7 linked regions of the Mus musculus genome follow. The main gene of each other region encodes a partner of the protein of the gene in region 7 in a complex. Links are inferred from orthologs where the notes say so. Each region holds a gene or a part of one and is shown on either strand. Other genes may lie near its edges. The genes, in order: Sf3b2, Snrnp40, Snip1, Plrg1, Srrm1, Rbmx2 and Gpkow.

Region 1 (2,518 bases), on a different chromosome or scaffold from region 7:
TGGTGTGAAACACCTCTACTATTTGTTTTTTTGAGATCATCTTCCTATATAGATCTGCCTGTCCTGGAATTCAGTATGTAGCCCAGGCTGGTCTCTTACTCACACTCACAAATATCCGCCTGCCTTAGCCTTTGAAGTGCTGAGTACAGCACCAGACCTGACTTCGATCTTTTAGAAAAGCAATCAACGTTACTGTGTGTGCATACTTGATGTGTGTGTGTGTGTGTGTGTGTGTGTGTGCGCGTGCGCGCGCGCATGCGCATGTGGGCGTGTATGGGGGGGCGTGTGTGTGTGTGTGTGTGTGTGTGTGTGTGTGTGTGCTCGCGTGCGTGTGTGTGCGCCTGTGTGTGGAATTGGTTTTCTCTTTTCTCCTTTATGTGGGTTCCAGGGATGGGACTCAGTCAGGTTTGTACAGCAAGGATTTTTATCAGCTGTGCTATTTTGCTGGCCCTCACCTGTTCTTTTGACAGCTTCTCTGTTGGAAAGCTTTCTATGAAGCTTTAGCCTCTTTGTCCACTAATGCTTCCTTATGAGTCTTGGCTTAAAGGATCCCTTAGCTTAGTCTCTGTACCCCTTACAGATTGTGTCCTGTGGGGCCAGTACTGACCCCACTCCACACCCCTCACCCAGCGTTTCTTATGGGCCTCCTTCAGTGGCAGAACCTTCAGCCGTAGTTATCTTGGGATTCTCTTAGAATTCAAGTGTCACTTATGTTTCTTTTGACTCAGGAGACCCTTTTGCCCCTTATTGGGTTTTATTTTCTTGTCCTTTGCAGAAGTGAGACACCTCAGTTATTCACTGTATTGCCAGAGAAGAGAACAGCCACTGTTGGGGGAGCCATGATGGGATCCACCCACATTTATGACATGTCCACGGTAAGCATTGGAGAACATTGTTTTGTAACTGAGATGGAGCCCGCGTTTCTGAGAGTCTGGAGATAATAAGGTTCTGAATTTTTCAGGTTATGAGCCGGAAGGGCCCAGCCCCTGAATTGCAAGGTGTGGAAGTAGCGCTGGCGCCTGAGGAATTGGAGTTGGACCCCATGGCCATGACGCAGAAGTACGAGGAGCACGTTCGGGAGCAGCAGGCACAAGTAGAGAAGGAAGACTTCAGCGACATGGTGGCTGAGCATGCTGCTAAGCAGAAGGTGGGAGCAACCTGTGGGCCTAGGAGGAGGGCTGTCCTTTCTGGTGGAGGGAGAGGCGGGTGGACTCGGTGCCTGAAGGTCTCCGAGATGCTCCATTGGTGGCAGTCTCTTAAGTTCAGGAAGAGGAAGGAAGTCATTTAGCTCTCAGGGGGAGAGGAGAGTGTGGTTTCAGTGCTTTTTACCTTAATTTTATGTCTGGGTCAGGCTGCCTCCTGTCTGGGGTTGTCTAACCTATTGTAACTTCTCTCTCTCTCTCTCCTACAGCAAAAGAAACGGAAAGCTCAGCCCCAGGACAGCCGTGGGGGCAGCAAGAAATACAAGGAGTTCAAATTTTAGGTCCTGCTCGCATAGCTGGCCTGCCTTTAGGCTCTTTGTATGTCTGGGCTTTCTCTGTGGCTCCCTAAAGCTAGATCTGGACTCCCTAGGCTCGTCACTTCCTGTTCTTATTTTAGACTTGTTTTGTAAATAAAGCTGTTTCCCAAGGAAGGATGAATACAGGCGCTCTTGAACCTCTCTCTCTTTTAGCTTCTGCAAAAGCATCTACTTCTTGCCTGTAATCACAGATGGCCCATAGGACTATGGGACTGTAGTTCTGAACTGAACTTGTGGGTAGTTCACTATCCCTACCCCTCCTGTGTGTGAAGGCTCTGCTGAAGGTACCTTTGGGTCTGGTCTGACCTTACTGCTTTGTCCGTGGGGAATAAAAATAGCCAGCTTAGCACCGTGGCTAGGCTGGGAAGTAACTGTAGGCTAGGGAAGTAGGCCAGGTCAGGCCTTCCTCATTGACCTTGTGGCAGAAAGGCCGATTTCTTACCTATTGGAGAACATCTGTCTCTAAATAAAATCTCAATTGTTCCAGAGTACTGGCTAACTACTTGGATTTACTAGTGTGTGTGTGTGTTGGTGGGTGGGTGGGTTTGAAGGGCTTGTTTTGTCTTCGTCACTGAGTTCTGAGAAGTTTTTTGAAAAACTAGACTAGGTTGGAGCACAGGATTCCATAACATTTGCTCAAGTACTGGGGAGAAGGTGTGGGTGTAGGAGAGTGCAAGAGCTCTAGGTAGGGTGGGGGTGTGTGGGGATGGCAGCTGATCAGGCCTTGAGAGAAATAGAATTCTAGAAATTGAGAAAGCACCGAGGCACTCTGGGACTTTTGTAAAGAAGGCTGTGTCGGGGGCGCTGTACCAAGAAAGGCTGTTGGACCTAGACAACCTTAGCTCAACTGGCTCCTGCCCACAGTCAAGCTGGAACTTAAGCTCCTTAGGTGGTGGCCGGCCCCTGGATCTCTACCTACTGCTTCTTTTGCAGAAGTGGGCGAAATAACCACAGAAGGGGTCGCCACAGCGGGCTATCCGATTTCCATGCAACGCGTGA
Region 2 (4,003 bases), on a different chromosome or scaffold from region 7:
CTTTCCAATTAGTACATTTCCTTCCTTTTATTTTACACATGCCCTGCTTTAGCATGACTATAGTTTAACTTGGCAATTTAGACTGATGTCTGAGGATTTCTATGGCACTCAAAATTAAAGAGATCATTATTAGCAGAGAGCTGTATGTAACTCCAGTTCAAAATTGTGCCTTACGTATTAGCCGGTCAAATCCTGCAGAAGCCAGGGTGGATCCATTGGGGTGAAACTTGCAGCAGTACACTTCCCCCTCATGTCCCGAGAGCAGCATGATTGGAGCTTGAAGGGAAGAACACCTGGGCGGTCCCTAAACCAAAGACAAGTGTGAGGCAGCCATTGTCCACAGGCAAAGGAAAGCTGGGGCAGCGCATCTCATCTGGGTCAGGGATAGCACAGATCTCACCTGGGTCAGCGATAGTACCCCTGCTCACAGAACTCTCTGACAATCCCTTGGACAGTCCAGCATATGCCCAATGCGCTTTTTTCTCCCTAAGGCTGTCTCTGTTCCACAGACGACTTCTGACTGCTTGATCATGTTGAATCCACTTATGCTTCAGAATCTTAACATAGAAAGATGTCTTTCACAAGAGACCTTCCTTATTTTGTATCTTTTAAATATTTCCTCCTCAGAGTCTGTCTTTCATCACTCAAACTAACCTACTTTGAGTGAGGTACCTCCCCACACCAGTATTCCACTAGCTCCAGGGCAGGCGGTCAAAGCCCCATCACTACCTGAATTTCCCTTTCTTGCCTTTCTTTTTCCCCAAAGAGATGAAGCTCTGGGAGTACAGGTACATTCTTCATTTTAGTCACCATTTTCCTGTCTCAAGTTCACCCAGCTAGCCTTTGAAAAACCTTGTATGGTACAGCTTATTACGCAAAATAGATTTTGGGGGAATGAGCAGGGTCTTAATATGTAGCCCAGGAAGGTCTTAAAATTTTCAGTCCTCCTAAGAACAAGTGTGTATCACTGTGCCAGGCTTAGCAAAGTAGATTTGATTATGATCTTGGAGAATAAACCTAGGCAATCTTACTCATTAAATAAGAACAAGTGTACTACCAATAATCCTGAAATCTCTTTAGCAGATTCCGGCAGACTTACTTATTTTTATTATCATGTACTATCTATAAGCAATGGGTTTCATTTTGATATATCCATAAATGCAAATAATGTACCAAGATCATACTCATCCAACATTTTTATTCAAAAAGTGTCACATGTTGGCTAAAGAGATGGCTCAGTGGTTAAGAGCACTTACTGCTCTTCTAAAGGACCCAAGTCCAGTTCCCAGCATCCACAATGGGCAGCTTTCAAGGGCTGTAACTTTAGGGTCAGAGGATCCAACATTCTTTTCTGGCCACTGAGTTCCCCCTCCCCACATATGAAACACACACACACACACTCACACTCACACACACACACACACTCACACACACACGCCTAAAACAGCACTCAGTAAAACAGTAGACCTTGCATTCTAGTGGAAAGTGAGAGAAAGGCACACAGAGCCACCCAGTGCTGAGTGCCATGGGAAGAAACAGTATGGGTTCCAGATTACAGGACACTCCAACTTGAAACACAGTGGTCAGGAAAGCCCCTCTGAAAACCTGGTGTCTGAGCAAAGATTTGAAAGAGCAAACAGCTGACCATGTGGGCATTTAAAAGAACATTCCAGCAAAAGCACCAAGGAAAGAAAGAACATTATAAGTCGGTGTCTTGAGCCAAGTGACATGCCAGAAAACTGGTAGATGAACAAGGTAAGGAGGGGATTATTACAGAGAATTTGATTTTTAAAAAAACGCACAATAGAAAGCCAACATAATGTTTTCAGCAGAGTATACCATGTGACTTAATATTTCCATGATTCCCCTGGCTACTGGATTAATAACCAATCCTTGGTTCAAAGACAAAAACCAGGAATACTAAATTAAGCTCTACCTGCAGTGATGTCAGATGACATAAAAACAGTTTTAACAAGAAGGTAAAAAAAAAGATCATAGTTACACAGATCTCTTCTCTTCTCTCTTTCAACAGGACTTTGCCATAATAAATAGCCTACACTGGCTTGGAGCCATGGATCTTCTGGATACAAAAAAGTTTGCCTTCCCCATTTGCAAAGTAACAGCTTCTTTCAGTCAGGTACCATGGTTAATGGAAATTTCACACGCAAAACATCCAAGATAACATCCAACGAGTGTTAATTACAATTATAAATGCAGAGAAAGAAAAAAGTTCTACCAGGTAGTAAAGCGAGCTATCATTCATTTCCATTGCCTCCCCTCTCATTCATTCGTCCACTCTGCAAACTTTCCTGAATGTTTCTTTTATGCTAAACCCCTGAAGATTTAGGATGCGGAAGCTTGGGTCTTGATTTTGAGGCCAAGGTTTTAAATGATTCAATGCCACTGAAGGGCTGAAAACAGGCGTCTACTAGGGAAACACGTATGAACCACACAGAGAACACCAGGCACCTTCACAGAAGCCTATTTTAACTTCAGGCTCACTGTCTTTCCGTTCCCTCAGAGGCGACATCATCCGTAGGAAGAGGGGCGGAGGGCCAAAGGCGGGATGACTCCCCACTTACCGCCTGCAGCAATGCCCCTGGAGTCGCCTGCTGCGGCCCCGCTCCGGGGCCGGCTCCTGCCGCTCCCAACAGCAACTCATGTCGCGGCCGCTTGACGGGAACCAGGGGTAGCTCCGGGCCCTTACGCTTCTGCTGCTCGATCATGGCGGCAGCCACTCTCCTCGGCGCCGCCACTAACCGCGCCGCCGACCGGAGGCGCCGCGCAATTGGTTCCAACTGAGTTCTTCCTCCAGAACTTCCGGAGAGGAGCAACCAATTGGCTTCTAACATTTCCTTCTGGAAAGCCCTCTGAATACACTCTTGTGATTGGTCCCATTCTGATGACGTCACGAGAAGGCGACTCTGGGATTGGGTCGCGGAGCTGGCGTTCTCCCCCGCCCCCTCGGGCGCGCAGTGCATCGTGGGTGAGAACGAGCGGAGCAGGTTTGGCGTTCCTAGCTATGAAGCGGCTGTCCTGCTAGGCGCGGACGCGGAGTGAGTGTGTGGGGAATCAGGCGGGTGGCTGTTCCAATCTGGAAGGTGCGAGGTGGTGATAGGCCTGAGCCTGCCCTTTTCAGCTATCAGCCTTAGCAGCATGGGGTGGCAGGAGGTGTCGCCGGAAAGAGAAGTCCCTTGGTAGGCTGGAGCGGAGCTTTGGCATCTCTGGCTCCAGGACTCGAACCCTCAGACGGCTATCCCTTGACAGCTGCTCTGCAGGATGCCAATTCTGCGTCTAGCTCTGTGCTGGCCCGAGTCCTGGCCTCCAGGCTTCAGTGCCGGACTTGGCTGAGGCGGCGGACTTAGTTGTCACTGATTTAGCCGTCTTTTTAAAAGGGCTTTAATTTATGTCCCCGAGACAGCCAGTGATGAGGAAAGTATCAGATGGTTCTTCCGAAGCACAGTTTAGTTGAGAAATCGAACAATCATGCTTGCGTGCCAGGTCTTCTCGAAAGTGGTCCAAATGATATTTATTGTGCAGTGCGTTTGGGGGTCATTCTGAAGAAATATGGTCCTCTACCCCAGAGTGTGGGAAACGTGTTAAACAAATTTGATGTTAAACAAAAACCATTTGATCGGAAGACTACCTAAACAAGCGATGCCTCTTGCTGTGAGTTACTAATATAAACTTGAAGGCTTTTTAAAGGAAAAGACATCTGAGCGGTTCCTATCTGATGGGACGGTTCTAATTAGGGGAAGAGAGGAAGGGAGAACGTTCTGCACAGAACAGCAGGTTCTATCAGTCGGAAAGATGAGGGAGACACAAAGAGCCGGTGTGGGGGGAGAGAGAGAGCGAGAGCGAGAGCGCTAGCTTAAAGTGAATATGGTATGGGATGAACCTGGAAGTCATGAAGATTTGCAGGAAGTTGAAGCTTTTACTTTAAAATTAATAGGAAGCCAGCGATAGTTTTCTCTCTCCTCCAGAATGTGGTGCAAAAGAGGAC
Region 3 (2,436 bases), on a different chromosome or scaffold from region 7:
TGGTCCTCATAAAGCCCTAGGGGCAGGTGGAAACAGGTCAAGACCATGGCAGGAATCTTTTCTTTTTCTTCCTTTCATCTATTTATTTATTTATTTAGAGGTGGGGTCATGGTATATAACCTACACTTAGAGGATATACTACCAATCCTGCTTAGCCTCCCGAGAGCCCGGATTACAGGCCTGCACCACCATGCAGTGGAAGAACTAATATCTGGATTTCTGACACCAAGTTCAAGCCCCTCATACAAATGTTCAAAGATCACAGGTTGTTAAGACGTACAGTACTCCTTCAGTCCGGCTCATTAGCTACAAGGGGTAATGGGCTCAGTAGCATTTCCACACAGCCAGCCAGCCTTAGGAATACTAAGTGAGACATTCACCCATCTCCCTTGCCAGTTCTCCCTCTGGTCTACCTACCGGTACTGGAAGACTGCATGTTGCTTTGAGCAAGAGGGATGGTCGATGGGAATGTCTGCGATGCGTCGATGTCTACCCAGAAGGTATGCACTCTGCCGATGGATGTACATGACTGGAAGTACCTCATCATTTTTAAAGGGGTAGAGGCGCCACCGTTTTTTGGGGATCCGGGCTTCTGGGGGCTCACTGTATTTAATAACCACACCCCGGAAGGTATTGGTGTCCTCAAGAAGTGCCCCAGAAAGTTCAAAGCTTGGTTTCTCTTTAACGGGCACCTCTTTGCTTCTGTTCCCAGCAGGACGAGGGATCACCTCCTGAGCCTCACTGCCAGCACTTTCATTCTGCTGGCGGTGCTCCCGGCGCCTGGCATTATGAAAGTCCCTCTCTTCTTCCTGGGCCTGCAGGTTCTGGCTGTCTCTATCCCGATCCTGTCCACTGACGGGCCTCTCATCAGAGCTCCTCCCTTGGCGGGAATGGCCCCGGTGCCGGTCTCGCTCACTGTTCCGAGCTCTCCTGTGCTCCTGTTCTGATGGTTCCCGGTGCTGCCGATCCTCTCGTCCTCTCCGAGGATGGTCCTCACGTTCCTGAAAGTCAGATGGGATTCAGTAAAGGAAAGATGGCATCCACTCTGTGAACAAGCTGCAGGAGCTGGATGGCTCAGCAATTAAAAGCACTGACTGCTGTTCCGGATGACCCATGTTTAGTTCTCAGCACCCACAAAGCTGTTCACAGCCATCTACAACTACAGTTCCAAAAGGATCCAATGCCTTCTTATGGCAAATGTGGGCACTACATCTATGTGGTGTACAGACAGGCATGCAGGCAAAACACCCACATAGGCAAAACAGTCTCAAACAACAACAACACATCTGTGACCTGGATTCTGGTATTCAGAACAAATTCCTATCCACACAAGGCTATCAGTGTGGTTCTTCCCCCGAAGGGCCAGTTAGACTCCATACACCACACTCTTCCTCAAGCCCACATCCAGATCCCTCAAAACAAGGCGACAAACCTCAGTCACCTGCAGGCACTCACAGGGCAGCAGGTGTAGAAAACAAAGCAGTCGCATTTAAGATATGTAAAGGGAAAGGCTAACTTCCTCATAGGCCAAAAGGAATTGAAATAATTTCAAAAGCTTCAGTTCAGCAATTATAGAGATGATTCAAACATCTATGGATAAACCTAAGAAATGTGAACGCCTCAAGAAACCTACAAGAAGGTACTACTTAGCAGTTTCCAAACTCCTGACAAAATGGACACACATACTGAAAATCAACCTGGCAGAAAACAGCAATACACAGAGTCAATAGACCAGTGAGCTCTCGGCACAGTGACACACACCGTTTGTTAATCCCAGCACTCAGGAGGCAGAGGCAGAACTCTTAAGTTTGAGGCTAGCCTGGTGTACAAAGAGTTCCAGAGCAGCTGAGGCTACACAGAGAAACCTGTGTGGAAAGAACAACAGACCAATGAGAGACCACTTGTACTGCAATAGCTCCAAGGGCAAAGCATGACGGCAGCAGTTTCCAGAAGAAACCTACACTTAACCAACCCTGAAGACATTTGTTCTAATAACCAGAGCACCAATGCTAAAGGAAATAGGAATCTTCTCAGATTAGCAATTCCTGTCAGGAGAGGAAGGACTGCACACCTCTAATCCCAGCCTCAGTAGTCAGAGGTAGGTGGATCTCTAGGGGTTAGAGAGAGAATGAGAACAAGAACCTGTCTCCAAAGGGGCGGACAGACAGTCAGACAGACAGACACACAACACACACACTGCTGGTGAAGTTCAGTTGATGGTATACCTTTAATATCAGTACTCAGAAGGCCGAGGCAGGAGAATCATTAAGCGTTCTAGGCCTGCCTGTGCTGCCAAGCAAGTTTCAGGCCAACCAGGGCCTAATTAGCAGGAGATAGATACCCTGTCTCAACTACAAAAATATGAAATCATGCAAATTTTTCCCAGTTTATTAAGCAAGTCATCAGGGTTCAGACATTTTGTAGCATGTGTCAGAA
Region 4 (3,500 bases), on a different chromosome or scaffold from region 7:
CCAAGGGGCTGCACAGCGCATCAATGTCACCAAACCTGTAGCACTCAACTGCAACCATACACCAACTCACAACATCAGTACATGTGCGAAATAATGCAAACCCACACCCACCCACAGTTCAGTGCATGTGTGCGTGCGTGCGTGCGTTGGATCCTATTACCAGTGCAGCTTTTTCCCAGTAACTGTAGTAAGGAAAAGTAACTTCAAGAAATAAACTGATTCACTGGCAGAAATAAAAGCAATATAAGAACCTAGGGGCAGGGCCTGCCCAAGATGAAAAATACCTTAGCACTATAAAGATGGTTTCCTTGAAATTATTCTGTGTGTGCAAGCGCATTCATGTGGTAAATGCAGGTACAGGTGTGTGCATGTGAAGGCCAGAAAATGACAGGTTTTCTGTTCTATCCCCACTCTACTGACACTTTGAAAACGGGACTCTCACTGAACCTGAAGCTAAGGATTTCATTTTCTGGCTAAGCTGGCTGGCCACTGAGCGCCAGAGCCCCTCTGCCACCCCTACTTTGATTGGCCCGCCCCAAATGCTGGTGTTACCCACAGCCACACACAGCTTTCCTGTGGTGCTGGTATTGCCCTCTGGTCCTTGTATTTACACAACATGTGCTCTTAACTGAATCAACTAGCTCCCGGCCCCAATGCTTGTTCTTCTAAGAGTGAGGAGCAACTATCATGATCACAGTATTAGCCATTTACAAACCGACTATGTGTATCGTGGGATTCTTTAAAAAAAAAAAGAAAAGCAACTTACCAAAACCATGTGTTTAGGGCTATGAAATGCTAAGGACTAACCCTGGCTGCTATTTGTATTAAACAGAGCTCAAGATAGTACTGATTTCAGTATCTATGTAAGACTTTTAGGATAAAAGAGCAATCATGTTCCGAGAGTCAGGAGACTTACAGAATTCATTGCTGTGGGCTGGGAACGGTCAGAAGCCCCTGGGTGTCGGTACTCACTTCCAGCAGGCCCAGTACGATTTGCATCAACTCTGCAGAATAGATAGATCAAGAATAATCACTCAGCACATCCCTAGTTATGTATTCTCCAAACTTTCTTTTAGGATTCTGGGAGACAGTGGGAGACAGCTCAGTTGATAAAGTGCTTGCTGTTCCAGCATGAGAAGTTCAATTCCCAGAACCTTTGTTTGAAAGAAAGAAAGAAAAAAGAAAAAAAGGAAAAGGGCATGGTGGGCATGGTGACACATGCTGGTGATCCTAGTACTGGAGACAATTCAGGCCCGTGCCCAAGGCCCGCTAGCCCAGCCTACTTGCTGAGTTCCAGGCCAGTGAGAGATCCTAGATAGAAAAAGGTGGCAATGCTGAAATGGTACAGTGTGGGCAAAGGTATTGTCTTAGTTAGGCTTTTACTGCTGTGAATTAACACCATGACCAAGGCAGCTCTTATAAGGACATTTAATTGGGGCTGCCTTACAGGTTCAGAGGTTCAGACCATTATCATCATGGCAAGAACATGGCAGCTCCAGGCAGGCATGGTGCAGGAGGACCTGAGATTTCTACATCTTCATCTGAAGGCTACTAGCAGAATACTCCCTTCCAGGCAGCTAGGATGAGGGTCTTAAGCCCACAGCCACAGTGACATACCTACTCCAACAAGGTCACACCTAATAGTGCCACTCCATGGCCCAAGCATATACAAACCATCACAGGTATGTGCTATGAGTTCAATCACTGAACCTACAACAGAACGAGAACCAATTCTCAAAAGCTGTCTGTTTATTTACACATGAGGGCTGTGAGGTGCACGAGAGTGCACACACACAAACACACAGTTTTGTTTTGTTTTTTCAAGGTGGATAGATTGCATCTGGAGCCGGGCGTGGCGGCACAGGCCTTTAATCCCAGCACTTAGGAGGCAGAGGCAGGCGGATTTCTGAGTTCGAGGCCAGCCTGGTCTACAGAGTGAGTTCCAGGACAGCCAGGGCTACACAGAGAAACCCTGTCTCGAAAAATGAAAAAAAAAAAAAAAAGAAAAAGAAAAGATAGCATCTGGATTCCACATTTTACGTGTTAACAAGAAACAAAACCCAAAGCCTGCAAACACTGAGAATCTATGTAAGTAGAGCGTCAGTCATACCTGGTCTGGGACGGTAACGCCACAGCGAGGGACTGTGCAGCTGACTCACTTGGCATTCTCTGGATCTTAGTATCAGCAGTCAAGGCAACACCTGTTCACAACAACCTTCGTTACACTCAGCTTGACTTGGGTTTTAATTCCTTATAATAAATACAGGCTAATACACAGATCAAATTTGACTGAACACAAGCAGCTTGGTATTAAGAGAACGCAAGACAATAAAGTTAATTTCCTATTGATTCAGACAGTATACTCATAAGCAAATAGTAGTCATGCAAATATTAACAGACTACTTCCAAGAGTAAATTAAGTGACTAAAAGAAGTACACAATGCCCATGTGAACTGCAAACATAAGGCTTATTGTCCTCTGTCCAAGCATATTTGCTTCCCTCATGCCAGCCTGTCTATACCCATGCATTCAAGTACATCTCAGCCATACATCCTCATCTATTTCAATTTAGGTACCTGACAACTGTCCGAGCCAACAGACACTATGTCTGTGTAGACACAGTGCCCACACATCTGTGCGGCCTTACTGTTACTTACCGGGTCCTGCTGGGTATGGATGGGTGCCTGTCACCAAATACTCAACATCTTGTCCTAAAAAAATAATAAATTCATTGCCAGTGAGTTTGCCTTTATCCAAGTACTGCCTTTTCAAAGGTATTATAAATATTAAGTTTTCCTTTCCAACTCTACAGAAGCCTCAGAAAGGCAGGGAGTTGATGGTTCTGCCTGTAAGCTGCTAATAAGTCAAGGCGCCCCTCCCACTGACCTGTTCCAGCTGTTCTTCACAGTAAATAGTTTCACATGGAATAGCAGAGTCTTTGTAACTATAATTTCATCTTTTCAAGATAAAGAACTCACAGATGGTCTCCCCACAGGCTAGGAATCAACTTGAGTTTTCCCTGTAGACACCACTGTAATCTTGCCTACCTCCTAAGAGAATCATAATCATACATTCTGTTTTCTAGAAAAAGTCCTCACCTAAGCATCTTCATTACTACTCTGACGAGCTCATCAAAACGGCCACCATCACAGCAACAACTAAGCAGTGCCCCCAGGGAAGCTCTAAGGAGACATTTTCTCCTATTTTAAAAATTCACTTGTAAACCCGATGGTTTTCACCTTGGTTGGCGGGATACTGCTTATGAGGATATGAGTCTGTTGCGTTCTGAGGTCCCTTCTCCTTAAGGTTCTCTTTTGAAGTAGGCATATGCAGCACAGGACCATACTCATTGCGAAGCTTGATTGCCATTTTCCGCTTGTGACTATGTAAAGATCATAAAGATGAAATGCACCCGTAAGTACTGGAAACACACTCACCAGTGAAAAGAGTCAGCTAACCAGAGAAGCACAGAAGCAGACACGGTACTCCATGTCACAGAT
Region 5 (3,500 bases), on a different chromosome or scaffold from region 7:
TTAACTGCTCTATTCATGCATAAATGAGGCAGTCACTGAAAACGTGTCTAGTTTTAATGTTAACTATCAACAGCAAGAAAAAACAAACTAACCGGTTAAAAGCCCAAACCCAACCAGCTTTGACACGAAGAATGTGCCCAATTGTAAAGTAATTTCGAGGGCCAAGCTATACACTACAGTTCCAGCCCAACCACAGACAGTCAGAACTATTAACGAAGGCTGTTACCGAGGGGAAGTCTCTTTCTGGCGCTTTCGAGGTGATGGAGAGGCACTCCGAGAAGGGGAATGTCTCCGCCGCCTGCCTACCTCACCGTTCTTTACATGGGATCTCTTGGGCCGCTCATCTTCTGAGGTGGAAGAGGAGCCAGAGTCTGTAATCACAGAGCAAAGAACAACAACAAAATATCACACACTCACACACTCACACACACACTCACTCACTGCCCCCTGTAGTACCCCTTGGGCCCTTACACTGCATGCTCAAGGTCCTGGGTTCTACACCCAGCACTGGGAAAAACGTTTCTTAGAGGTTAAGACTCAATGACTCCACGTTTACTTAGTATGGATGGCATGAAGCCATGGGTTCAATTCTCAGTACCATCAGGACAACCTACACTTTTTATTTATTATTTATATGAGTACACTGTAGCTGTCTCAGACACACTAGAAGAGGGTATTAGATCCCAGTACAGATGGTTCGGAGCCACCATGTGGTTGCTGGGATTTGAACTCAGGACCTCTAGAAGAGCAACAGTCAGTGCTCTCTCTTAACCTCTGAGCCATCTCTCCAGCCCCCATCAGGACAATCTAATCAGTACAATTTTAGTGACAGTCAACAGTCCACACCTAGCAGAAAACTAGCAAATATAAGACTAGTATATCTCAAAAGTACTAAGGCCTGCACGGATCTCTTAGGAAAAAAATCCAGGGATGTAAAATCAGGCTCATTGGTGTATGTGCACATCTGATGACAGGGAGGTGAAGGACGGAGAATATGAAGTCCAACATGAGCCTCGCAACAAAACTCTAGTGAATTCTTTCCCAATTAATAAGGTAAGGCTTCAAAAGAACCTCAGGGCTGACGGTCAAATTCACTGGAAAAGCCCAACCCAGCATGTGTTGCACATCAGCAGCAAGAAAGCAACAAAAAAGTATCAATATGCCACTTGAACCAGAAAATAATTACAACTATAACCTGAGCGATGAGGGTGTGGCTGTGAGTAGAGAGCTTGCCTCAGCACATGGGAGACCCTGGGAATCAAACCCCAGTACTGCATAAACTGAGTCCAGTGGTGCAAAGCTCAACTCTCAACACTTAGGTGGAGTCAAAAAGACTACAAGTATAAGGTCATTTTTGGCTACAAAGCAAGTTCAGGGCAAGCCTGGACTACATGGGACATTTTCTTAAAACCCAAAACCAAACTAAAGCCACACAAAACCCAAGTAAGTAACACAAGAACAGAGCCCCTGGCTTAAACATTAGGCTTCTGTGCTCTTTCTTTTTAATCAAACAATCAGAACTACAGTGAGTTCCAGGCTAGCCCAACTACATAGTGAGGCCAAACAAAAACAAAACACAACCAAATAGCTACTAGTAATAAATGAAGTAGATTCATAAAAAACTAGTATGATCATCTAAACCAGAGACTCCTAATTATATAGAACAAAGTTGCAGAAAGGCTTAGGAGTAGACTCAAATATTAGGGAATAAATTAGTCTTTCCAATTTCATTTTCTGTTTTACTATTGTACTCTACGCCAACTACCTTTTGTTTTGTTTGTTTTTTTTTTGAGACAGGGTTTCTCTGTGTAGCCCTGGCTGTCATGGAACTCACTCTGTAGACCAGGCTGGGCTCAAATTCAAGAGACCTGCCTGCCTCTGTCTCCCAAGTGTTAGAATCAAAGGTTTGTACCACCAACGCTTGGGTCCAATTATGTTATATTTAATAATGTTGGGAATAGAGCCCAGAGCTGTGCACGCAGTACGCTGTACTCTACCAGAGCCATGTTCCTAGCCAGATTTATTACCTTCCTAACAATACAGCAATTTAAAAGCAAAATTTAAGGGCTTAAAACAAGAAAGAAATACCCAGTGCCCAACTGAGACCTATGGCCCAAACACAACCCATGAAGGCAAACGGTTCAATTTCCAGCACCCACATGATGGCTCACAACGTCTCTAATTCCAGATTCTCACTGGATCTGATACCCTGTCTTCTGGTCTCCTTGGGGACCAGATGTAAACATGGTGCAGACATGCATGCAAGTGAAATACAAACAGGCATAACATTGCAAAATGGGGGCGGGGTGGAGTGGGGGGAGAGCCCCAGGGTCTCATTAGTCCAGGCTGGTCTCAAATGTACAATGTAGCCAAGAACAACAGAGCTTTCCCCCTCCTGCCTCCACCTTCTGAACCACAGGATCTCAGGCTTCTTCCGCTTTGCTCTTCTGGGGACTCTCACTATGCAGCCCTTACTGGCCTCACACTCTACAGGAATTCTCCTGCCTTAGCCTCCCAGTGCTGGGTTACCACAGGTGTGAGAGTGGAAGGCGCTCATTCGCTTGTTGTCCATACCAGATGAAGACTGCTGGTTCTGCCGTCGGTATTGTCTTCTCTGCTGCACAGAATCAGCTGCAGCCATTTTGCTGCCTTTGTCTTCTTCTGAAAGATGGGTGCATTTAGACAGTGTTTCTTTAGTTACACACAGGTAATGTGACACACAACACAAGGCATCAGCCCAGTCCATAAGATAGGAATGCTATAAACATCCCAGCCAGCTGTCCAAACCCAAAATTTTGTCCAAATACAGAAGAAAAAGAATGAGGTCCTGGACGAATAACCAAACAGCGCACACTTAAATGCCACAGCTGGGAATTGCAGAAAGTCTGTGTGACGTCACCTTCAGCTCTTCCCTACTGGGTGCCCTGGACAATCAATCCCCAACCCCAGGGAATAATCACACACGGAAGGAAAAACAGAAAACCAACCTCTAGAAAATCATTACAACTTACCAGACTCAGACAGCTCCACTTTTCTAGGCTTGGGTGCTGGAGAAGGTGACTCTCTTTTCTCAGTACCTTTATGTTTTGTCACTAAAAAAGAAGAAAAATAAACCTCACACAATAAAAAGAACAATTTTTTTGTTTTGTTTTGTTTGTTTTGTTTTCCAGACAGGGTTTCTCTGTATAGCCCTGGCTGTCCTGCAACTCACTTTGTAGACCAGGCTGGCCTCGAACTCAGAAATCTGCCTGCCTCTGCCTCCTAAGTGCTGGGATTAAAGGCATGCGCCATCACTGCCCAGCAGAACAATGTTTTAATAGCACAAGAATGGGTTAGACTCCTCACATGAAAAAATTAACCTAAAATTTAAACATGGAAAGCTTCAAAAACTAGTTCTACAGGGCTAGCAAGAACCCTGCACCAGCTGGGCAGTGGTGGCACACGCCTTTAATCCTAGCTCTTAGAGGCAGAGGCCAGAGGCGCAGGGGCGCAGGGGCAGA
Region 6 (3,108 bases), about 41 Mb from region 7:
GAGAGAGAGAGAGAGAGAGAGAGAGAGGAAGGAAGGAAGGAAGGAAGGAAGGAAGGAAGAAAGAAAGAAAGAAAGAAAGAAAGAAAGAAAGAAAGAAAGAAAGAAAGAAAGAAAGAAGAGGAAGAAGAAGAGGAAGAACCTGGCAGTGGTGGTTAATCCCAGAGACAGGTAAATTTCCTTGAGTTTGAGGCCAGCTTGGTCTACAGAGCTAGTTCCAGAACAGCAAGGGCCACACAGAGAAACCCTGTCTTGCAAAAACAAAAAATATAAAGTTTGGGGGGGGGAGGTAGAAGGTAGACAGATTCTAAGGAATGACGCCTGACCTAAGGCATCACACTCATGAATGTGTGTTCATATATACAAAGTTATATACATTTAACAAGAAAACAGCATGCCCTAGGAAAACATGAGGACTAGAAACATGAAATTTAGTGCTATGGCTGCTTTTTCAACAAAGTAATCAGGAGGCAAAATGAGACCAAGGGAACAAACTTCTTTTGTTGTTGCCTTTGATTGTGATGGCAGTGGCAGTAGAGGTGGCGGTGGTATTGAACTTACGGTCTTTTTTTTCTATTTTTATTAGATATTTTCTTCATTTACATTTCAAATGCTATCCCAAAAGTCCCCTATACACTCCCCTGCCCTGCTCCCCTACCTACCCTCTCCAGCTTCCTGGCCCTGGCATTCCCCTGTACTGGGACATAGAACCTTCCCAGGACCAAGGGCCTCTCCTCCCATTGATGGCCGACTAGGCCATCCTCTGCTACATATGCAGCTAGAGCCACAGCTCTGGGGTACTGGTTGACTATGACAGAGAGGCACTCTCGTCTCTGAGCTCCATCCCTAGCCCTACTCCTACCATATAGGAACTTCTAGTTCCCAAGGATTACTGGGCTATAAGCTAGAGGTTTCCAAGAGAACAAGAATAAAATGAATCCTTTACCCTGTATATAGTCTGTTTTCAAGCACATACACTTACTATGTGGGCAACATCATCTAAGACCTAAAGATTAATTTCACTGTTCCACTACAAGGGTACATTTTTACTTCTACTTTGAGGCTTTTACTTAAAAGCCTCAAAAGCTTCTGTCATCCATTCTATTTCTCATTTTGATACACTTTTTGAAAAAGCAATTTTCCTCTGATGGTGATTTCTTGTGAATGCCACTCCCTTAAAATTTCAGAATGGCTTACTTTTATAGACTTGGTCATCAGATTTTAACTAGAGAATTTCCAGGAGCCAATATGTTAAGTCACAAAAGTCATTGACTAGATACACATGGCTCGTAGCTCATCAAGCCATGATGAAGCTCCCAGTTCCCTGACACAGCACAATATCCAAGAGCAGTGTCCCTAGGCTCTTCATTCTCTAATGTACTAGAACAGATGGAAAATGTGCATAAAAACATCTGCCAGATAAGGGGGCGCAGACCCACGTTTCTAGAACAAGTTTGCTAACAAACAGGGGAAAGTTACAATTCCTGGAAGGTGCATGAGCCAGAAAATGGTTTCCTGGAATCCTTCCCTATCCAAGTGTGTCTACTCACTTCCACAACCCCCACGGTACACCCAGATGACCAGTACTATTCGTGCAGCTGTAAACAGAGGCAAAAAAAGCGAAGCCTCACCCATCCACAGGAAAAGGTCAGCCAAAGAGCACACAGTAAGCACATTTACCTTAATTCCATTGAAATTGTCAACAGCCAGAACTGTGCTCCTCTGGTCTTCATAGCACAGGAAACAGAATCCTTTGGATTTCCCAGTCTTCTTGTCTCTCACAAGATTAATGTTGACAATCTCCCCATATCTATTTTATAAAAAGTTTTATTCATTTAAAATTCACATAATAAGAATACTGTAAATGACACAGTAGGTTGAAAGTAAAGAGTTAAAGTTGTTAAAAATAAATTCTAATACCTACAACATATACTCAAAAATCAGTGTGATAAAACTAGAAATAATAGTTTAAACAAAATCCTGCTACTGGAACTAGAGAGATGACTCAATAGTGAAGATCACTGGTTACTCTTCCAGAGGACCCAGGTTCAATTCCAAGCGCACACTTAGAGGCTCACAGCCATCAGTAACTCCAGTTCCAAGGAATCCAGTGCCCTCTTCTATCTCTCACATGGTGCAGACATACATGTAAGCAAAACATCCATAATTTTTTTAAAAAATAATTTTTAAAAAACTTGCTACTAACTAGAACTTGAAACCTATTCTCTTAGCTAATAGTTGGATGAACTAAAATGAAAAATAAATTAAAATGTCTATGGTATACCACTTAGAAATTAAAAAAAAAAGAATAAAATACATGAAAATTTGTAGGATGTAGCTAAGCCAGCTATACTTAGGGAAAATTGTAACCTTAAAGAATTTGATTCCTTAAAAAGAATGAAAATAAAATAAAACAAACTTAAAACAGGCTTTAATAAAGACCAAAGCAGAAATTAATTGAATACAAAATAGAAAGTCGAGCAGCAGCGGTCGCCATCTTGGTCCGGGACCCGCCGAACTTAGGAAATTAGTCTGAACAGGTGAGAGGGTGCGCCAGAGAACCTGACAGCTTCTGGAACAGGCAGAAGCACAGAGGCGCTGAGGCAGCACCCTGTGTGGGCCGGGGACAGCCGGCCACCTTCCGGACCAGAGGACAGGTGCCCGCCCGGCTGGGGAGGCGACCTAAGCCACAGCAGCAGCGGTCGCCATCTTGGTCCGGGACCCGCCGAACTTAGGAAATTAGTCTGAACAGGTGAGAGGGTGCGCCAGAGAACCTGACAGCTTCTGGAACAGGCGGAAGCACAGAGGCGCTGAGGCAGCACCCTGTGTGGGCCGGGGACAGCCGGCCACCTTCCGGACCAGAGGACAGGTGCCCACCCGGCTGGGGAGGCGGCCTAAGCCACAGCAGCAGCGGTCGCCATCTTGGTCCGGGACCCGCCGAACTTAGGAAATTAGTCTGAACAGGTGAGAGGGTGCGCCAGAGAACCTGACAGCTTCTGGAACAGGCAGAAGCACAGAGGCGCTGAGGCAGCACCCTGTGTGGGCCGGGGACAGCCGGCCACCTTCCAGACCAGAGGACAGGTGCCCGCCCGGCTGGGGAGGCGACCTAAG
Region 7 (3,500 bases):
GCTTACTCACTCCAGCTACCTGACATGGCTTCAGGAATATGTTTTCTTACCTTGCCATAGAGGCCCCGGTAGGGGCCAGAAAGGACAACCACAGCTCTTCCATGCATCAGCCCTTGAGGTTGGCCTTCCTTATCATTCTCTCGATCCCCATCTGGTCTTGGTGGGTGGTGAGAGCCTACGGAGGCCAAGTCCTGAGCCTCCATCCGGTTGGCACCTAGCCCTAAGCCCTTCGGCCTTATAGAGTTGACTCGGGGCTTCACTACCCTGCAGAGAAAAATAGGCTTGTAGGAGTACAAAAGGCAAGCCTTCCAATATCCAACCCACCTCAGCAATCCTTGTTTTAATTGTTAATTTACTTGTGTATGCTTGTACACCACAACACACATGTAAAAATCAGACGACTGCTTGGGGGTGGGAGGGGCTGTTCTCTTTCAGCCACGTGAGTTCTGAGTTCATCAGGATTACAGACAAGGGCCTTTACCTGCCCAGCCATCTCACCAGCTCACATCTGTATTTAATTACCCTTTCTGATACCATATAAGGACTCTGTGAGTTATAAAAATGCCAACTTTTCTTTTTTTGTGGTGTTAGGGGTCAAATCCAGGGCTTCAATGCATAAGCCATTCTACCATTGAGCCTCACTTTTAGTGCCCCCATAGCAATTTCATGTAGTGTAACTAAATTAACTTGTCCCATATACTCTTATTACTCCTATCTACAAGTGCCAAGTTAGGTTTGTATAAACAAATATACTAACTAATATATTTACAGAAGAAATCATAATATGTACACAGAGCAAGGGGAACAGTAAAGAATGTTCACTATCAATCACAGTCATATCTGGCTTACCAAATGACTTAAATTCTTTGGGATTTACAACTGCAAAGGGATTTTGCTTTCAGTTCTACAGATGGAAGACCTTTTACATGGTAGGTAAGCTACACACCAGCCCAACAAAAGGACTATAAGTCTATAAAATAAGAGAAAAGATGCTTAGTTTGGGGGCTGGAGAGATGGCTCAGTGGGTAAGAGCACTGACTGCTCTTCCAAAGGTCCTGAGTTCAAATCCCAGCAACCACATGGTGGCTCCCAACCATCTGTAATGAGATCTGATGCCCTCTTCTAGGGTGTTTGAAGACAGCTACAGTGTATTTACATATACTAAATAAATAAATGTAAAAAAATGTTTAGTTTCTGCTAGTTTATTAGGGACTAAATCCTACTCTTGCAACAAACCTGTGAAGTTAGTACCGCCTGCATTTTTCAGATGAGGAAATTGATCCACAAAGAGGACCTTAGTGTTCTTTTGGAATAACAACGCTGTGGAAACCACAGTTTGAAACAGTAGTGGGTAACTAGTGATAATGTCCTCCCTCAGCACCTAGATAGTTCTAGATTAAATGTAACTACAGGGGTCTTATTTATACCCATTGTCCCCCCCATTCCCCCCACCAAACTCACTGACTGAAGGTATTGCCGATGCCCTTGCCAGGTTTCCATCCCATGCCCCGCAACATGGCCAGCCCATAGGCCTCCACAGGGACTGCCTCATAGTCGGCTTCCTCCGGCACCTATTGGTCAGGCAGGAGAAGAGAGTCAGGTTTTGCTTGGGATGGGCCCTCTGCCATGCACTTGCTGCCTGCCACTCACGGGCTGACTTTCTCTAGCCCTGGCCCCTGAACAGATAGCTTGAAGGACAGTTTTCATTTCTTATCACTCCTCACTCTGCTCCTCCACCCCCGAGTCTTTCAGTAACAACAAAACGTTTTTTAGGATTATTTTATGCTATGTGTCTGAATGGTTTGCTTACATATATGTATGCCCATGATGTGTGTTGTGCTTGGTTTCAGTGGAGGTCAGAAGTGAGCATTTGATGCCCTGGAACTGGAGGTATGGAGCAAGTGTTCTTAACTCTGAGCTATTGCTCTACTGCCCCTTCTTCCCAGTCTGTCTGCTTGAGACAGGCTCTCACTATGCAGCTCTGGCTGTCCTGGAACTCTCTCTGTTGACCAGACCAGGCAGGCTTTAAACTCAGAGATCAGCCTGCCCCTGTCTCCTAAGTGCTGGGATGTAATACATGGACCACCATACCCAGCTTCAACAAATATCCACATGCTTTCAAAAGATTTACAGGACCTTTTATTTAGGTGCTGAGGATAAGGAACTAATAAAATGGAAAAAGTCTGTTGGGCCTTATGATCTAGTTGTCAAGACATACAACAAATCGAGTTCTGAAAACACGATACATCAAGTGGTGACACATTTAAAAATAAAGTGGCACTGTCCAGTAGGCCCTGCTATGTATGAGGTAAGGGAGGAATCTAGCTTAAACCCAAGAATTTGAAACCAGCTTGGGCAACATGCTGGGACTCCCCCCACCCCCAATCTCAAAACCAAACCCAAACTCAAAAAATACCTGGCTAAGGGAATTCAAAGGGAGATGGGAGCCACGACCTGACATTTAATCAGATAAATGATAAAAGATAGCAGAACAGATGAGGATGTGAGAAGACTGCTCCAAACAGACTCGGTTGTAAAAATAAAGGGCATACTTGGGAGGTGGGAGCAGCTTATCTCTGTGAGCTCAAGGCCAGCCTGAGCTACACAGTGAAGCCCTGTCTCAAAATACAAAACAAGCAAAAAAAAGAGCCTGCAGTAAGGTTAGACTTTGTATGTATGGTTAAGAACCATGGAAATCAACAGGAAAGGTGGAAGCAGAGATGGTAAGGAATTAATGAGGAGAACTGGAAACGTCATGGGACCAAGAGTCACATGGGAGCCCCAAGAAAGACCCATGAGAAACTTAGTCCAGATGCTGCCTCTGCCCAGGATGCTAGTAATGTGGATGACTAAGAAGCTATTGGCTTCTGGATCTACTGAAGTGGAGATGATGAGGTTGGGCTGATAGGCTACGTGTAGAATATGAAATAAAAAGGGAAGTCAAGGATTGGCTCCAAGGATTTTAAGCTGAGAGGACGGATGGCTAGAATTGTGGTCATCTGAGATGTAGATGGTATGGAGGCTTGGAGATGGGGAAATTAGAGAGATGAGGTCAAGGCCAGAACAGGATAGAATGAAGTATGGGCAAGAAGCACAGCTCATTCCAGGACAACCAGGGCTATACAGAGAAACCCTGTCTCGAAAAACCAAAAAAAAAAGTATAGCTCAATAACAGGCATTTTAGCACAGGGAAGGTCCTGAATTCCAATCAAAGCATGAAAAGTAAAAAGAAAAAAAAAGTTTTGTTTTCTTAAGGAAGGCAAAGTGGGACGTAGTTTGCACACCTTTAGTTCCAGCACTTGGGAGGCAGAGGCAGGCAGATCTCTGAGTTTGAGGCCAGCCTAATCTACATAGACATTCAGAACAGTCAGGAATACAGCAAGACCCTGTTTCCAAAAAAGTAGGGCAGACCAAAGCCTGATTATAGTTGTAAGCATGAAGTTCAAGGTCATTTTTATCAACAGAGTGAATTCAAGGCCAGCTTAGACAACATGAGACTG

The links.
Region 1: Gpkow (region 7) and Sf3b2 share a complex: the UniProt entries of both Homo sapiens proteins name them as parts of the minor spliceosome. The link is inferred for Mus musculus from reciprocal best matches to the Homo sapiens genes GPKOW and SF3B2.
Region 2: Gpkow (region 7) and Snrnp40 share a complex: the UniProt entries of both Homo sapiens proteins name them as parts of the minor spliceosome. The link is inferred for Mus musculus from reciprocal best matches to the Homo sapiens genes GPKOW and SNRNP40.
Region 3: Gpkow (region 7) and Snip1 share a complex: the UniProt entries of both Homo sapiens proteins name them as parts of the minor spliceosome. The link is inferred for Mus musculus from reciprocal best matches to the Homo sapiens genes GPKOW and SNIP1.
Region 4: Gpkow (region 7) and Plrg1 share a complex: the UniProt entries of both Homo sapiens proteins name them as parts of the minor spliceosome. The link is inferred for Mus musculus from reciprocal best matches to the Homo sapiens genes GPKOW and PLRG1.
Region 5: Gpkow (region 7) and Srrm1 share a complex: the UniProt entries of both Homo sapiens proteins name them as parts of the minor spliceosome. The link is inferred for Mus musculus from reciprocal best matches to the Homo sapiens genes GPKOW and SRRM1.
Region 6: Gpkow (region 7) and Rbmx2 share a complex: the UniProt entries of both Homo sapiens proteins name them as parts of the minor spliceosome. The link is inferred for Mus musculus from reciprocal best matches to the Homo sapiens genes GPKOW and RBMX2.

Annotation. Positions count from the first base shown.
Region 1 is NC_000085.6:5,273,421-5,275,938, reverse strand, and holds the end of Sf3b2 (splicing factor 3B subunit 2), read left to right. Parts: intron 1-775; coding exon 776-875; intron 876-961; coding exon 962-1,147; intron 1,148-1,411; coding exon 1,412-1,483; 3' UTR 1,484-2,018; downstream 2,019-2,518. UniProt on the Homo sapiens protein: Component of the 17S U2 SnRNP complex of the spliceosome, a large ribonucleoprotein complex that removes introns from transcribed pre-mRNAs.
Region 2 is NC_000070.6:130,358,929-130,362,931, reverse strand, and holds the start of Snrnp40 (U5 small nuclear ribonucleoprotein 40 kDa protein), read right to left. Parts: upstream 2,801-4,003; 5' UTR 2,727-2,800; coding exon 2,583-2,726; intron 305-2,582; coding exon 175-304; intron 1-174. UniProt on the Homo sapiens protein: Required for pre-mRNA splicing as component of the activated spliceosome. Component of the U5 small nuclear ribonucleoprotein (snRNP) complex and the U4/U6-U5 tri-snRNP complex, building blocks of the spliceosome.
Region 3 is NC_000070.6:125,069,672-125,072,107, reverse strand, and holds part of Snip1 (smad nuclear-interacting protein 1), read right to left. Parts: intron 1,002-2,436; coding exon 418-1,001; intron 1-417. UniProt on the Homo sapiens protein: Required for pre-mRNA splicing as component of the spliceosome. As a component of the minor spliceosome, involved in the splicing of U12-type introns in pre-mRNAs. Down-regulates NF-kappa-B signaling by competing with RELA for CREBBP/EP300 binding.
Region 4 is NC_000069.6:83,058,538-83,062,037, reverse strand, and holds part of Plrg1 (pleiotropic regulator 1), read right to left. Parts: intron 3,383-3,500; coding exon 3,240-3,382; intron 2,712-3,239; coding exon 2,658-2,711; intron 2,202-2,657; coding exon 2,111-2,201; intron 1,005-2,110; coding exon 917-1,004; intron 1-916. UniProt on the Homo sapiens protein: Involved in pre-mRNA splicing as component of the spliceosome. Component of the PRP19-CDC5L complex that forms an integral part of the spliceosome and is required for activating pre-mRNA splicing.
Region 5 is NC_000070.6:135,329,147-135,332,646, forward strand, and holds part of Srrm1 (serine/arginine repetitive matrix protein 1), read right to left. Parts: intron 3,093-3,500; coding exon 3,012-3,092; intron 2,662-3,011; coding exon 2,575-2,661; intron 372-2,574; coding exon 227-371; intron 1-226. UniProt on the Homo sapiens protein: Part of pre- and post-splicing multiprotein mRNP complexes. As a component of the minor spliceosome, involved in the splicing of U12-type introns in pre-mRNAs. Involved in numerous pre-mRNA processing events.
Region 6 is NC_000086.7:48,705,004-48,708,111, reverse strand, and holds part of Rbmx2 (RNA-binding motif protein, X-linked 2), read right to left. Parts: intron 1,808-3,108; coding exon 1,678-1,807; intron 1-1,677. UniProt on the Homo sapiens protein: Involved in pre-mRNA splicing as component of the activated spliceosome. As a component of the minor spliceosome, involved in the splicing of U12-type introns in pre-mRNAs.
Region 7 is NC_000086.7:7,700,134-7,703,633, reverse strand, and holds part of Gpkow (G-patch domain and KOW motifs-containing protein), read right to left. Parts: intron 1,572-3,500; coding exon 1,462-1,571; intron 265-1,461; coding exon 51-264; intron 1-50. UniProt on the Homo sapiens protein: RNA-binding protein involved in pre-mRNA splicing. As a component of the minor spliceosome, involved in the splicing of U12-type introns in pre-mRNAs.